Drosophila melanogaster: one gene and its partners. The protein of the gene in region 1 interacts with the protein of each later gene in a pairwise test. Each region holds a gene or a part of one and is shown in the gene's direction. Other genes may lie near its edges.

The links.
Region 2: the proteins of Msr-110 (region 1) and HP6 interact in a two-hybrid assay, tested with the Drosophila melanogaster proteins (one large-scale study listed by BioGRID).
Region 3: the proteins of Msr-110 (region 1) and CG13907 interact in a two-hybrid assay, tested with the Drosophila melanogaster proteins (one large-scale study listed by BioGRID).

What each region holds. Positions count from the first base shown.
Region 1 is NT_037436.4:5,571,981-5,576,870, reverse strand, and holds the start of Msr-110 (Msr-110), read left to right. Parts: upstream 1-1,724; 5' UTR 1,725-1,784; coding exon 1,785-1,931; intron 1,932-3,041; coding exon 3,042-3,239; intron 3,240-4,890.
Region 2 is NT_033779.5:4,577,072-4,580,400, reverse strand, and holds HP6 (heterochromatin protein 6), read left to right. Parts: upstream 1-2,182; 5' UTR 2,183-2,297; coding exon 2,298-2,618; 3' UTR 2,619-2,682; downstream 2,683-3,329.
Region 3 is NT_037436.4:876,735-884,143, reverse strand, and holds CG13907 (uncharacterized protein), read left to right. Parts: upstream 1-2,130; 5' UTR 2,131-3,240; coding exon 3,241-5,691; 3' UTR 5,692-6,853; downstream 6,854-7,409.

The sequences.
Region 1 (4,890 bases):
GAGGTCTACAGCACCGCCAGCGAACCGCCACCGGTGAGTACAGTGAAGCCTCGAGTTGCCACACAAGTGACTAGTGGCGAAACTAATGACAAACAGATACATACGATGGTTGATTTTGCACAGAAAAAATAAATCATAAATTCATTAGATTAATAGATTAGTATTTCTGCGTAAAATGTACTTGTTTATTAAGCTAATTTAAATGATCATTTAATTTTCTGATCAACATCTAGTCTGCGCTCAACTAAGCTTTGCAGTTCAACTGACCTGTTGAGCGTTGATTGGTCGGTTGGCAGCCAAGTGGGTTAGAAAATGCCAGGGTCACCCTTTGACTTATTGCATCCGCCGACGGACCACAGAGCGTATGCGCAATGCGGACTTTTTCTGCAAGTAGCTGCAAACGTGAGCTGCATTTTCGCCAAATCAGTCTGCACTGCATGATGCATAAGCAATTTGCAAATGCCCCGCCATTAATGTGCAATTTTAAAAATTATTACCGTCTGACAGTCGAGAGGGAATCGCATGCAACGTGATCGGTTTCGACAATTGTCAGCGGCTTGACATTTCCCTGAAATAGTCCACAGTAACGTTCGTATCTGCAAGATACAAGATACACCCGTACCTACTTGCATACATACTTCTGTCTTGGCAAGGTGTGAATGGATCTGTGTATCCGATATGGTTGGACAAATAGAAATCCGCCTCAATCCGAATCGCGAAGAGCTCTAATGCCACAGTCACGACACGCTAATAACGCAAAGCCAAAACAAATACCATATCTATATAGACTGCGCCACCGCCGAGTACTTTGACTTGTTCAACTTGTTTTCCCAACCATACCATACACCATATTTATTAAGCATATATATAGATATAAAAATAAAACTATTAGATCCCCTGGCGTAGTGGTGTTGTTGTGTGGGCTAAATTGTAATACAAATTTGCATAAATTGCACCGTACATTTTGCATTTGGCATTCAACAGTCAGCATCCGCATCAGCCATAAATGATTTGTGCGGTTCCATTCACGCGAGGGTTTTCCCCCTTCCATCATTATCGCCTTGCCAGCGGTACAGTGAAAGCAAAAAGTTATCTAACAGGCTCAATTCCAGTGCACACTTCCACTGACCCAATGCAAAAAAGCGGCAAACCTGATTGGCTGACATATAGACACCAGTTAGTGAAAATAAAAAACAGCTAAAAGATACCCTGTTTATGGAAAATGAAAATAATGTATTTGTATAATTATCTGTTTTTGCTAAATTTTAATCGCTTAATGACTGCAGACCGAGCCATTAGAAAAACCCATTAGGAATAATGCTCAGTGCTGCTGAAATCTGTAAAGTAATTATCATTAATATGTACTGAATGCAAAAAGTGAACTAGAATTACCTTTATTATGATGTTCTATTATGGGACAGTGAGCATAACAACCATTACTTTATAGAGCCAATAGTCTGACCTTTTCTATAACAGAGTTCATCTATCAATGAGTTACCTAATATGTCAGTAGCTCTGTCTTAGCCTTCACAATCGACCCTTGGCCAAGAGCTTTCCCTTTTGTGCAGTATTTGTTTACCTTTGCGCCATATGTGTTAGGTTTTCACCTTAAGTATTATTAAGCGACCCCACACACAACTGCAGTACAATCTCATTAACTTTTTGTCTTTTCTTGTTTTTATGTATTTTTACCTTGCAATGTGTGTGTGTGTGTGTGTGTGTGCACAACACTCGAAACAAAAACCACAAAAATCGTTTTTCTTTGGTTTGGCTGAAAAATGTGAATGCGAATAACCGAAACCCAAACCATTCCCGAAACCGTGATTGACAATATGAAATTTTCTCTATTCCCCCGCACTCGCCACCACACAAAAAACGAACCAAACACTCAAAACCAACCACAGATGGGATTTTTTAACTTTAATCATCAGGTTTGTCGCTCAAGTCTTTTGTCTGCACGAAAATCTTCACAAAAAAAGTTTAAAAAAACACAAAACGCAAAAAAATTAAAACCTCATCAAGTAGAGTAGAGTAGAGTAGAGTAAAATAGAGTGCCAGGCGAGCCATTCACTTCCACTTCACTTCGCCTGGTGTTGATGATGATGATGATCACTCACTCACTCACAATTCACTTTCGCAACTGCATTTTGGGGCCACGCCAGCCACGCACGTAGAGGTGTTAACAAAAAACATTGCACATTTCAGAAAAAAAAAAGATATAGATATAACCGAGAAAAAGCCGCCTCACCTGACTGCACCCACACCCGAGACTGCCTTTTCTCTTGGGCTTGCCACTTCCTCAATTTTGCGGAGGGTTTCCTCTTGCGCAACAAAAAATCTTCAAATGCGGAATTCATTTGGCTGGCCTAACTTTTTTGTGGATACTCCCTATGCTGCGGCTTTTTGCATCCACTTGTAAATTTTTGCACCTTACGCGGAAAGCATTTGTTGTGCACATTAGTCACGGCTTCCCACTGCTGGCAAAGGCAAATATTTGCGATGATCTAAGGCGCAGTTTCTTCTCGATTAAAGCACTTGCCAAAAACTTAAATGCCTTTAACAATCACTTATTGTTCATTACCTTGGGTCTCATCTTATAGCTGACTGTTTGGCTTTTTAATGATTAATGCCGAGCAACCTCTGTCAACTGGAAACAGCACTTAAAAGCCCATTGATAATAAAATATTAATGAAATTGCATGACCCATCCTAAAACAGTCGCAACTGAAGTAACCCCTACACATTTTATGTAAATAAGTTATTATCACTCACAAAAAATCACAAATTATGCACCCAGCACTTCTTTGAAATTCTCGAAAACTTCGACGTTTTGAAGCGAAAAACGCGCTTGACCATGCTGAGGTGTATTTTGTGGAGTAAGGTCGTCGCTTTTACCTTACCCCCAACAAAAAAAAAACCGAAACACAGAGAGGTCATAGGCAAATGAGCACGTAGAAATATTGAATTGCAAACACAAATAAAAACTATGTATGTTCATTGAAAAAAACCGCAAAGCTAATGTGATTTTCTGTACCATTCTAGGCCTACAAGCGCCAGGCGAATTCGGTGAAAATCGCCAAGATCACCGCCTTCACCATCATCGTGTCAGCCTTCATCCTGGGATCCTTCATCCTGGCCTCCTCCTACCTGCAGGCCAAGGCCTCGTGCGATCAGGTCCAGGCCCTCGACTCGGTGCTGGAAAAGGAGCTAATGCTTGAGACTTTGCAGCAGGTGGGCAAGGTGAGTTCGCGAAATATGTATTCCAACCGATATGCCAATCCGTACAATCCGTTGTGCTTCAATGATCCGTTGCCATGGCAGATTAGTATCGTGCTCTATGGGGCACTGAATTTTAAAAAATTATAGAGTTGGCTAATAATGGCTCGCATCGTTCGACTGCACACGCTACGGCCTGAAGTCGGACTCCCAAAAAAAAAAAGTTCGAATATTAAGCAAAATTAAATATAATTACCGGAAAATGTAGCTATAATCTGTGGTAGCCGAAAAATGTTCCCCCTTCGTGTGGACCTGCTGTAATTTCCCTCAAAATGTTGTTGACTGCACGCGCTATTAGTTCCATGGGATCGCAGACTTTCGACAGGCACTGTATGCGGTGTGTGCATACACGAAATGTGATATTCACATGTTAGATATATTACCTAAAATCGTAACAAGAGCTTCTCATTAGGCAGAAATTTAATTTGACGCCAAAAGAAAACAAAAGGAATTAGTATTAACTGTAAAGTAAATAAATCAGTTGCTTTATATTCATATAATTATAAAACCAATCACAAGATAGACATATCTGAGTGGAGAGTAAATTACTTTTTTCCGTAAATCACTATCACTTTGGAAATTTATTGGGAAATATCGATTTGCAGTAAATCTAAACGTTTCCTAGTCATTATACTTATACAAATATCTTGCCACATAACTGCCAATTCAATCAAAAGTGATTGAATAAGCACCTAGCTCCAAAGCAATTTCGCATATTCACATGTACATAACAGCAAAAAAAAACAAAAAAATGTTCAATTGTATGCTTCCTTGAGAAATTTCACGCATGTAACCATAACCAAATGGCAGTTATGAAAAAAAGTAACAACTTTATAGACACAACTTTAGGACTATGGATATAAAATGGCTGATTGATGATTGGATGACTGGGCAAGGCGCGTAATTCAAAGTTAATGACTGGCGGTCCAATCATTTGCATTCGTGTCATCAATATTCAATTAGCCGATATGGAAAGTGCAAACTGAAGCAAATTATTCACATAGCATAGATATGCATACATATATGCTCTGATCAGGTTATTCAACCCGCTGTGCAGATGGCTTATGTAAACGAATGAGCAAACAAACGAATCCAGCGAATGCAACGATAAATTCAATCAAGCGAAATTCCCATAATTTGACGCTTAAGTGGACACCAAAATGGTGGAGTTCGCATTTGGAGCTCGCAGCTTGGAGCTTGCGACATAATAACCAGAGAGCAAACACAATTGCGAATCAAATGCCAGACGAAGTGAAAGCAGCATTCGGTAGTAACAAAACATGTTGCAAGCCACATACAAAAAGATACAACAAAAATCCACTGAAGCGGGCGTGGGCGCAGCAATTGTTGCTGCTGCGGCTGCTGTTGCTGTTGCTGCTGCTGTTGTTGCTGCTGCTGCTGCTGCTGCTGCTGCTGGGGCATCCAAAATGCCAGAGATCATCAGCTGGAAAGAGCAGCTGCCACTAGAGATGGTCGGAAAATCGTGAAAGTGATTTTTACCCCATGCAACAAATGCAATTGTTATGTGATCAACCAAAAAGAGCCAAACCCTCTAAAAAACTACGCCTTTTTATAAAGCCTCATTACTGCAGTATATGATCCCAATTAATTTGAT
Region 2 (3,329 bases), on another chromosome or scaffold:
ATGCTTAACCTTTAAGCTCGTGCGGCATATTAATCTTATCAGAAACTTGTCAACAGTCAGCTAAAGTCAATCGGATCGAGCCGCATCCCTGCTGACAAGATATATACATTGTTCTCGGACATCGCTTGTAATGTCTCACTCGCCTGGTCGCATATATATCAATATATTGTACCATTGAGGTGAAGATCTGCGAAATAAAGGGATAAGATGGAGATTTTGTTTAAAGCTCTTATTTTTCACATGCCCATGCGAAAAACCTACCTTCTTAGAAGTGGATATGTTGCACAAATAGTTTCCAACAGCTCTTGGCAAGCTTATTTACACTCATGATCAATATATATTTATCTCCACCAAAACACGACTATTTCACAAGACTAGAACAGATTGGTAGGATCTTTTATCATCGCTGACAGAAGGACACATCATAAATGTGAGGAATTTATAATGGGTTTTTGTTGCCCAGTCACGCGATGATCTCCGCTTGATGGCTTAGAAACCGACCATCAGGCAGAGCCAAGATCTATAAAAAAATTCCCAAGAAATACGTATAAGTATGTATGCATGAGCCAAACCCCTGCGGATTCCTTGGATCGCACTCTAATGATTTCCTGCTTAGGATACTGGGGCTCACCCATAAACCCAAATATGCTGCCGCTTCCCAAGAGCTGTCCCCCTGCCGTCCAATGATTAATGCGCCGATCCTTGTCCGATGCCGATGAGGCGAGAATGGGAATTATGTATTTGGGTTAATGTTACACCGCAGAGCAGCACGGCTGGCATTGCTTTAATTTTGTTTTAACACAAAAATTGCCAAGTACCAGTATTTATTTGATGTGCGCAATGCTGCGATCGGAGCTGTGACTTCGCCTTGGACGGCAATTTCCTTCCGTCGTGGTGGAGCCGCGCATCTTGATCGCCGGGTTCTCAGGCTGTGGCCAGAAAACTGGAATCCCAGAGAACCGATACCATTGCCGACGACGATGCCAGTGCTGCTGGCCATTTCAAAATCTAACTGTTAACTGCAAAAGTTGAACGTACTAGCAGCATGCAACATTCAACGGCTGCACCCACGGCATCAGCAGCATTAACGGCAGTACACTTGAAAAAATATGTTTTGAGAAGGAAAATTATTTCCTATGAAAAACTAATAATATATATGTTCTTAAATATAAAAGCTTTTGGAAAATGTAGAAAAAGTTTATGTTGTTTCTAAATACTTTTGGAATTAATTATTTTTCTGGAATACATACACACCGAGCCAAATATTCTTACACAAAAATCGATTAAATTGAAGAACTCATACATCACTTTCCTCAGTGTATGCAACTGCATCTGAGCGGGCAGCGAAACGAGTTGAAAGCCGTTTTCCCTGTTTGCCAGCCAGCTCTTGAAAGTGGTTTGTTGTCTAACTGCGTTAGTTGCTGCTTTAAATTGTGCGCCCAAGCAGCTCCAGCGGCGTTTAATGGCTCCAACTGGCGACCGGAGACCTCGGCTTTAACTGGCCACCCCGCCACCGACTTCTGTTTCTGTTTCTGATTCCGAATCGGATTCTTTTTGTTGCTGCAGCGGGTTCTCAGGCGGCGTTGGCTAAATGTCATAGCGGCGGATGCACCGAGCAGATTAATCATTAATCACATGCCCATCTGAGAGTACGAGACTTCCAATATGCGGAAATTACTGGCAGCTAGCTGTAGTATCCATATGCCCCATTCCCACCATCCCCATCACCTGGTGGCCGATCATTTCCGCCGACGAGTTGGGTTCCTTTATTTTGCCTTTATTTTGACACTGGGCCAGCAACGGCAATTACTGGCGGCGGTGCCACCGAAAACCCTCCTCCCTTCCGCCCTGATTTATGAGTTTTTAATGAGCGGCCACTTTACACGAATTCAAGTTAACAAGTGGAGCCGCGTAAGAGGCCAATATCGCAAGTAGTATCGCCGGCAATCGCGCCTTGACATTCGAGTCGTGCGAAATGTCAGATGAAGATGCACCAATGATACGCTCAATGGGCGTTGGAATGCACAATACCCTAACTAAATCTGAAAGAATATGTCCAGTCAAGGGGAGTGTACAATTTTATTTCCATTTTCTCTAACGCTTTTCAAATTAATCATTTAGGGCTGCCACATCGAAAGGGTTGCCAAAGCATGTCGATACCTACAGTTATCGAAACTGAAAAATAATATCTCGGTGTGTAAACACTTGACAAAACGTGACAATTGGCTACGCGCGTCGAAAAAAGAAAAATAGATTACATTGAAATAAATCCCACGATATCTAAAACCAAACGGAAGATGCCCAGCTCCACTTTGACGTCCTCTACTGCTCTTCCGGTGAAGCAACGAAATGGATTTGATCTTGGACTCGAACCGTTGCGGATCTTAGGAGCCTGCAACTGGTCCGGTAAGCTGACCTTTTTGATGCAGTGGAAGGGTTGCGACGAAGCCGGCCTGGTGCCCGCCGAAGTGCTCAACGTTCGGTGCCCCCAAATGGTCATCTCGTTCTACGAGGAGCGTATTGTGTTCACGGATGAGGGCGATGAAGAAGACTTGGAGTCGGACAATGGGTATGAGACCACTCCGAGTCCCAGGAAGAAACGATCACGAAATGCCTAGTCCATAAAACTATTGTGCACCGAAGACATTGCGGTGCAATGTCAATAAAGAGTATTGACTCTTCTGCCACGAGTTTTTCTTCATTTTCTGGTCGCCGTTGTCGCTGGTGATTGATTATGCATTTTCATGCGAACTGGTTGCTGATGCTGCACTTTGTTGGCATGCGGGCAGGTGAATAAGTGAGTTTAGCTCGGCCCAGCCACGCCCTCCGCCTCCTAGACGCAGCTTGATGTTGGAGACAGGCCGGCGGCATTATCTGCCGGGCGCGAAATTATACGTGTATGTATACACCGAGCGAAAAGTCTGTAGGGGTATTTGAAAGTTCATAAAAAAAACAGTTCATAAATGGTGCACTTGCCTCATTAAACTTTTTCCAGTGCACTTAATGCTGTCAGTGACCTTCACATCGGGGCGTTGGAAAACCTGCAATTAGAAAAGAAGGTTAAGCCGCAGGATCAGACTCAGCTCTCAGATTCCATGTTGCAGGCGCCTCAAGATTCACGCAGTCAACTAATACGTACATAAAAAAAAGGGTTAAATTGGTGGCGCACCTTTCTTGCAGCGACATTTTGACATTGAAAAAGTATAATTAATTGAGGGGCCCACCAGCAGGTGGGCGTGGCCAGGGGCAGATTAAATCGATTTATGCAAGATTTATGGCAAAAGCGCACAAGAAAGAGAAGAAGCGAAATAAAATGGGGCGCCGCCTGG
Region 3 (7,409 bases), 4.7 Mb from region 1:
ATGGCAAGGAAAGCGTTGTCAGCGTAAAAAAAAAAAAACGCTTAGCAGCCAAACAAAGCGAGAAAAGCATTGACTACACAACACGGCGTATGCGCAATTTTCATTTTCATTAACAAAGAAGGCATGGGAATTAGCAAGAAAGGGGATGGTGGACATGAAGGGGTGCTCTTAGTGGGGTGCTGCGAAGAGGGTGGGGTGACAATAATTGAAGAGTCATCACTGGTTCATTCAACCTTTCAGCAACGAGGAAATAAAGAACTGAGGAAAGCTCTTGGCCAGCTGGAGAAAAATCTTTTTGTGTTCTTGTCTGTGCAAAGCTCTGTTCCCTCAGCAAAAGATGAATAGTTCAAGGATAGTTTATTCATTGCAAAAAGTGAACATCTGTGACAGTGGGAAAAACAATTTACGCTCATAAAGTGGAAAGAAAAATGTCCCTTTTATCAAACTTGTCACGTTTACTTGAAATATTTTAATTAAAACTCAGTATTAAGTTTAGTCCTATTGTGTTTGATATTACCTTAAGTAGTTTTTCTCAGTGCATTGCCCTATTTCACCCACATTTCACTCGCTTGCGTTTGGTTTTTTGGCACAGAATTCTGTTTTAAATGGGCCAGCTAATTTCCCAAAGACACCTGGTGCAAACGGCCACTAAGCAATCCATCCCGCTCATTTTGGCCCCTGAAACTTTGGATATCGAGTGTCACGGGCAACGTCCTAGTTTTCCAAACGTCCTGAGTGCATTGCATTTTGCGGCACATGCAATTTTAATAAGAGGAATTCTAAACGCACACATTGCGGTATAACAGTTTTGCTGCGATTACCGCTGTTTCGGATTAAATTTCAGTTAGGTTAAGTGTGATTTGTAGGCACACGCAGATTGCTAGCCAAGATTGGAGGCGTTGGCCATTTGAGGCCCCACGTAATGCGTTAATAACAGAGCAGCAAATCGAGTTAGCGAATCGGAACACAAAAAATAACATGAAAGAATCGTGGGAAGAGCCAAAGTGGCGCCCTCTGGCGTTGACCCACAATATCGGAGGGGTTTCATTTTCCTTCCATGTGAGCGTGTGTTTGACATGGAATTTTTATGAATGACATTGACCAACCACCCAAGAAGAAGAAGAACTGCTCACATCCCCCCGAAGGAAAGAGAGAGCCAAAGAGAACGAAAGAATTCTCTTACGACGCCTCACCGCAACAAATACGACGAAAAAGTGCTAACCAAGCCGAAAAACTGTTATAAACAACCAGAAGACAAAAAGCACATTTTTACGATTTTACGACCTGGCAACAGACGAAAAAGTTGATAAACAAAATAACTAGAAATATCTCAAAAGGCCTTCTTATCAGCTGCGTGTCGAATGCATTTTATTATTTAGGCGAGCCAACTGTAAAGATAATGCGCGGATTATACAATGGTCGGCGCCTAAAAGGCGGCAGACAAAAGTAACACTTTCGCCCGAACACGCACTTAGAATGACAGTAGAACTTCCCTAAATGAAACTTACAGTTTGGGAGTTGCACTGTTATTATTAAAAATAATTAAAAATATAAAATATAAATATAAAATATAAAATATAAATATCTACTCTATGGAAGTGATTTGCCTTGATATTTTGAAAAAGCATTTAGCAGTGCATTTGTTACACATTCGCTACAAGAGTAGGAAAAACATCCGTATGTTCAAAATCTTTAAAAGTGTCTTTAAGAAAATGTAATTTCCGTGTAAGATGTCCTGCAAAATTTTGCGTAGCTTCTGAAAAGTAAAAGTTAACCTTTAACCTAAATCGGCAGTAAAGAGCAACAGTTTCTGCGCTCTTTGGTTTAGGAACGTTGTGCAGTATAACAGTTTGAACAATTGCTGTGGCCATGTGGCAAAAGGCGGTTACCGGTTTTTCAGGCTTTACCTTTTCAAATTCAAATCAAAGAAAAGCAAAGATGATAAAAAGAAGGGAGAAAGACAAAAAGACAACCCTTGGGCAAACAAAGAGGGGTTGTTTGTCTTGGCTCTCCCTATCACTGCCACTCTCCCGCTCTCGCGGCTATTTGTTTTTGTTTCAATCAGCTGTTTTTTGGGGACGAGAGAGCGCGAGTGGAGCTTGCGCTCTGTGAGCTTGAACTTCAAATGCAACAAAACGGGCGACAGAGCGAAGGAGAGAGGGCGAGTGTTTTTACAGAAACTTAGAATTTGTCTTTGTATATCGTATAACAGTCGCTATTTGCTGCCGTTACGAGGAATTTTCATTTTCATTTCGCAGCGGACGGCGCAGCAGTTCAGAACAAAACTCGGGGAATTCAAAATCGGAATCGGAGATTGTTATTTTTCGCCAGATTCGCAAAAAGCAAATGAAAATGTCGCCCAAATGCAACTGCAGCTAAAAGTTATCGAGTAGTGTGTGTGTGCCGCCGAGTGTGTGCGTGGTGTGCGCTTTTTATCGATCACACTCCGCTCTTCTTCCTCCTCCTTTCCACCTCACCTCCCCACCCCATACCAACTCAGACACTCTGTCACGCTCTCCAATCGAATTTCAAAGCTGAAAATCGAAAAATTATACAATTGCATTCGCAAATTACGACGTACACACGTACGTACGTACGTACAGCACCCCCAAAAAAGCTGAGGAAATCACAGAAACGCAAAATCAAAGTCAAAGAAAAATCAAAGCAAAGAACCAGCGAAAATCGGGCAAATTTAAGGAAAACAAACATTTTCTAGTGACCTCAGCTGCAGCTGCAAGTGCAAGTTAAAAATACACAAACAAAGCGGAAATAAGCGAAAATAAAGCACAAAAACCGCAAGGAAAATAGTAACGGTTAAGTTGAAACCAGCACAAAATAAAGTCAAACTGTTCAACTGGAGCTAAAATATTAATAAACCAGGCCAAAGGCAGCACTCGTCTAATATTTGCTTAAATACAGGCAGCCCACGCCTTTTATCGCTAGTGAATTTATGAATTTATCAAACTAAACGAAAACAAAAACTCAATAACAATTGACACACACTCACACAAAAGCCAACTGCAGTGGGAGAGCAGCGAAGAGCGAGCTTGCAAAGAGCGAGAGTGAAGAGATAAACTTGGGCTCTCTCCTTCGCATTTGGCATTCACACGCGGGCAGCGACGCCAAGCGGACGTTCCTCCTCCTTCTTCGCCCTTCGCACTTCACACTTTCTAGCCCACTTTTTCAACTCCACCAAAACCGCGTGTGTGCCCGGGAACCCTAACCCTTCGTCCCGCCAACATGGTGGATACAAACAGTTCAAATCCGGGAATCGTGGGTGGAAACTCCGCCTCGTCCGCCAGGCTGAGGAGATTCGAGCGGACGGACAGTGAGCTGGCCTGCGAGGAGGCGGCCAGGCTGACGGCGGAACAGAGTCCGGAGGACGAGGACAATCAGGACAACGACGAGGATGACGACGACGAGGAGAGCGTGTACGGGGAACTGCCGCCTCCGCCGGACGGAGGATACGGCTGGGTCATCTGCTTCGCCAGCTTCATGTGCAACATGATCGTGGACGGTATCGCCTACACGTTCGGCATCTTCCTGGAGGAGTTCGTGGCCTACTTCCACGAGGGCAAGGGTACGGTGGCCTGGGTGGGCAGTCTTCTGTCAGGAGTCTACCTCAGCGCCGGACCTATCGTTTCCGCCCTGGCCAACAAGTACGGATGCCGAGCCGTCTGCATAGCCGGGAGCATAATCGCCTGCATAGCCTTCGTCTTGAGTACGTTCAGTACCAACGTGAGCATGCTGATGGCCACCTATGGCTTCATGGGGGGATTCGGGTTCGGCATGATTTATCTGCCTGCTGTAGTGGCCGTGGGCTATTACTTTGAAACCAAGCGGAGTCTGGCCACAGGAATTGCGGTCTGCGGCTCTGGCTTTGGCACCTTCGCCTTTGCCCCGCTGGCCACCTATCTCCTGGAGGAGTACGGCTGGAAAAACGCCCTGCTCATCTTTGCTGGCCTGATCCTCAACTGCGCCATCTTCGGAGCCATGATGCGGCCACTGACCTACCCGAAAAAGAAGAAGCAGAAGCCCTTGATGCAAAGGATGTACGAGGAGAAGCAGCTGCAGCTGGAAAGGGGTTCCTTTGCGGGCTCCCACTTCATGGTGCAGTTACCGGATGGAACCATCGAGCGGAAACTGAAGATGCCGCTCAATGCGGATCCCGGTGTGCATTCCAGCTTGAATCTGGAGCTGCTGGCCCAACAGGCAGGCGGCGGAGGTCTGCATCCCGTCTCTACCCTGCCCACCATCACGGAGTCCAAAGTGGTGGATGTTCATCGACAGAACGGCGCGCAATCTCCACCAAATGGCGACAGCAATGGCCAGTTATCCGCTCGATCCGCCGCAGGTGCCGTCGGCCGCCGTCCTCACAGGAACTCGGAGTCGGAGAATAGTCCGTACCACTCGCAGGATGCCATGACCCGGAACGCATCGCAGCCCGCCTTCCTGGCCGGAGATCATCAGAGTTTGCCCAAAAACGGATCCGTGCCGGCATTCAACACGCGAGTTAGGAAAACCTCCGCCTCGGAGCGCTTCCAGCCTTCGCTGGCCGCCATCAGGGCCACTTCTCGCGGAGATTTGGAGGCAGGAGCAGGCGGTGACTTCGCCTCCTCGAAGTTGTCGCTTTCACAACGGCAGGGCGGCAGTCAAACTGGAAGCAGCGGCAGGATGGTGCGACCCATGTCCCGCAAGGATATCTTCTACTCGGGATCCGTGACGAACCTGCCGCAATATCAGTCCCAGAAGTCCTTGGCCAACTACAGGAATTCGGTGCTGTCGCTAACCAAGTACGAGAAGAGCATGCAGAGTGTGGCTAAATTGGATCCCTTGGCCGAGGCTGAGAAGCATCGCGAGGAGTATGACCTGTGTCCCTGCCTTGGCATTCCCGATTCCGTGAAGTCCGTGGTTAACACCATGTTGGATGTTAGCCTTCTGAAGGATCCCGTCTTCATGCTTATCGGAGTCTCGAATATTTTTGGCATGGCCGGACTGTACGTGCCCTTCGTCTACCTGGTGGATGCGGCCAAGGAACACGACATACCAAAGAACGATGCAGCCATGCTTCTGTCCATCATTGGCATCACCAACACCGTGGGCCGTGTCTTCTGCGGCTGGGTAGCGGACCTGCCGCAAGTGAACTCGCTACTGCTCAACAACTGCTGCCTGCTGGTGTCCACCATAGCCGTGACTTTGACCCCATTGTGCTACAGCTACGCGGCCTACATAACCATGTCCATATTCTTCGGACTGGCCATCTCGGGCTACATCTCGCTGACGTCAATTATCCTGGTCGACCTCCTCGGCCTGGACAAGCTAACAAATGCCTTCGGACTGCTGATCCTGTTCAGAGGATTTGCCGCCCTGATCGGAACGCCCTTGGCGGGAGCCATCTACGACATGACGCACACCTACGACCTGCCCTTTTACATGGCCGGTGCGTTGTTCGGCATCTCCACGATAACCAGTTTCCTGGCGCCCTGCTTGAAGAGATGCAGTCCCTCGGAGGAGACTCCTGTGCATGTGGAAACGCTCACACCCATCGACGAGGAGCAGGGCGAAGATGCCGAGGACGACGAGGATCAGCCGATCACCATAGTGCCCAAGATCATCAAGACACTGGCGAGTCCGCAACAGGAAGAGGGACATCCGCAGTTCCCCCAGAAGACAAGCGAATCGAAGCTCTAAGGAGACTTCGATCGGTTGGAAAGGAGAGAGAAGTGAATTTACAGGGGGCAGTGCGGAGCTTAAGAGGATCCGGTGAGATATTTTTCTATTTACTTATACAGCAGAGGAGGAGGAGATCAGAGATCGAGCACACCTATATACAAAGTGGAGAAGACGGATGGATATATATATAGCCAGCCCCACACCATATATACATATATATATATATATACCTTTAAGCCTAGGCAACAGCGGAGGATGAAGTGCGGAAAATTCACTTTTCTACCAGGAGAACTCAGCTTAGCTTTCGATAAGATATAGAGAAACCTTCGGCTATATATAAAGTTATACTACGCTCATAAATTAACGATCGAAAACTGATACCGATCGCTGGTAGATTGCAACTGTTATACAGCAACCACAAAATATTGTAAAGTAAATTCTATTATTATTATTTGTTTGTTAAAACCTACGATTACTATAATTACCATTATGATTACTATTAAAGATTATTGTGTACTTCTAATAGTTGTTGGCCAGGCGTTATAAATGTGTCATACCGTAGCGATATAGAGATAGAGCGATACATAGCGTGTGTGTAAACTAAAATGTAACTAAGTAGAGGTGGCCCGATTAACTTAAAGAGCGGCAGCAGCAACTATTTCGAGAAATAATAAATTGTATATTTTTTAAGAAAGAACGCTACACAGCAAAACTCAAAGGCGAGAACACAAAGGACCGCAGTAAGAACTAAAATTGTTTTCAATTTTACACTAATCGTTTAGGTGGCAAACTCAAATACAAATTTACGGCTCATTTTTGTAAGTTACTTACTAAACTAAAGTCCAGCAACAGAAAAACCAAGAGTAAATGATTTTTAAGGCTTGTGTATGTCCGTTTTTAACTATCCAAACATATAGCCTAGTAGCTACGAACCATAAGCAATACGGCAAGTGCAGTTCTATACAAACGAAATTGTTCACGCGGCTAAACTAATTAAACAGTATAATATGTACCACAAACAATATTCTAAATCTGTTTTACGCATAAGAACGGGGCAACAAACAGTGAGCAAGTGGGAAACACATCAATGTAACATTTAGAACAATAAGTGTTGAGAAGGAATGAGAAAAGCAGCCAGAATAGTAATAAAAGATATTGCCATAAATTTTAAAAACCGTCGAAACCAATGCGTTTTTGTGGGTGTATCTGGGGTATATGGATAATGGCTTATCAGAAATGAGTTCATTAGAACTTTTCTTCAGTAAGTTTTTCCCTCGTGACCTTCACAACGTTCGGGGAAACCGACAGACATGGACTCAATGGACTGCGCTCTATTTGAATAAGCGTAAGTACTTCTATCAAGAGGTAGCTCGTGAAAGCTCTAGCACAATTATAATCTCCCCGGGGAGCGTGTGCCGCTCTAAAAGACATCGATCAAAAGTTTGCCTTGGACTTAAGTTAATGCATTTATCAAAGAACGTGAAACCCCTTCGATGTCGCGGAAAATCAGATCATAACAAGCTTACTCGTAAAACCCTCGACCCAAATGATTAGCCTAATCAATTTGCCACGATGAGTTATGGCTTCACTAATTGTGGCCGACCAGAGGAATACTGTAGTGTGTATCATTCTCTAGTCAGTGGACAAACACTTGGCGATATCGCCATATGAAAGCCGTCTGCAAAGCCAAGTGCTTCGAAAACAGCCATAAAAGAAAAACCTCTCGACTAGACGGT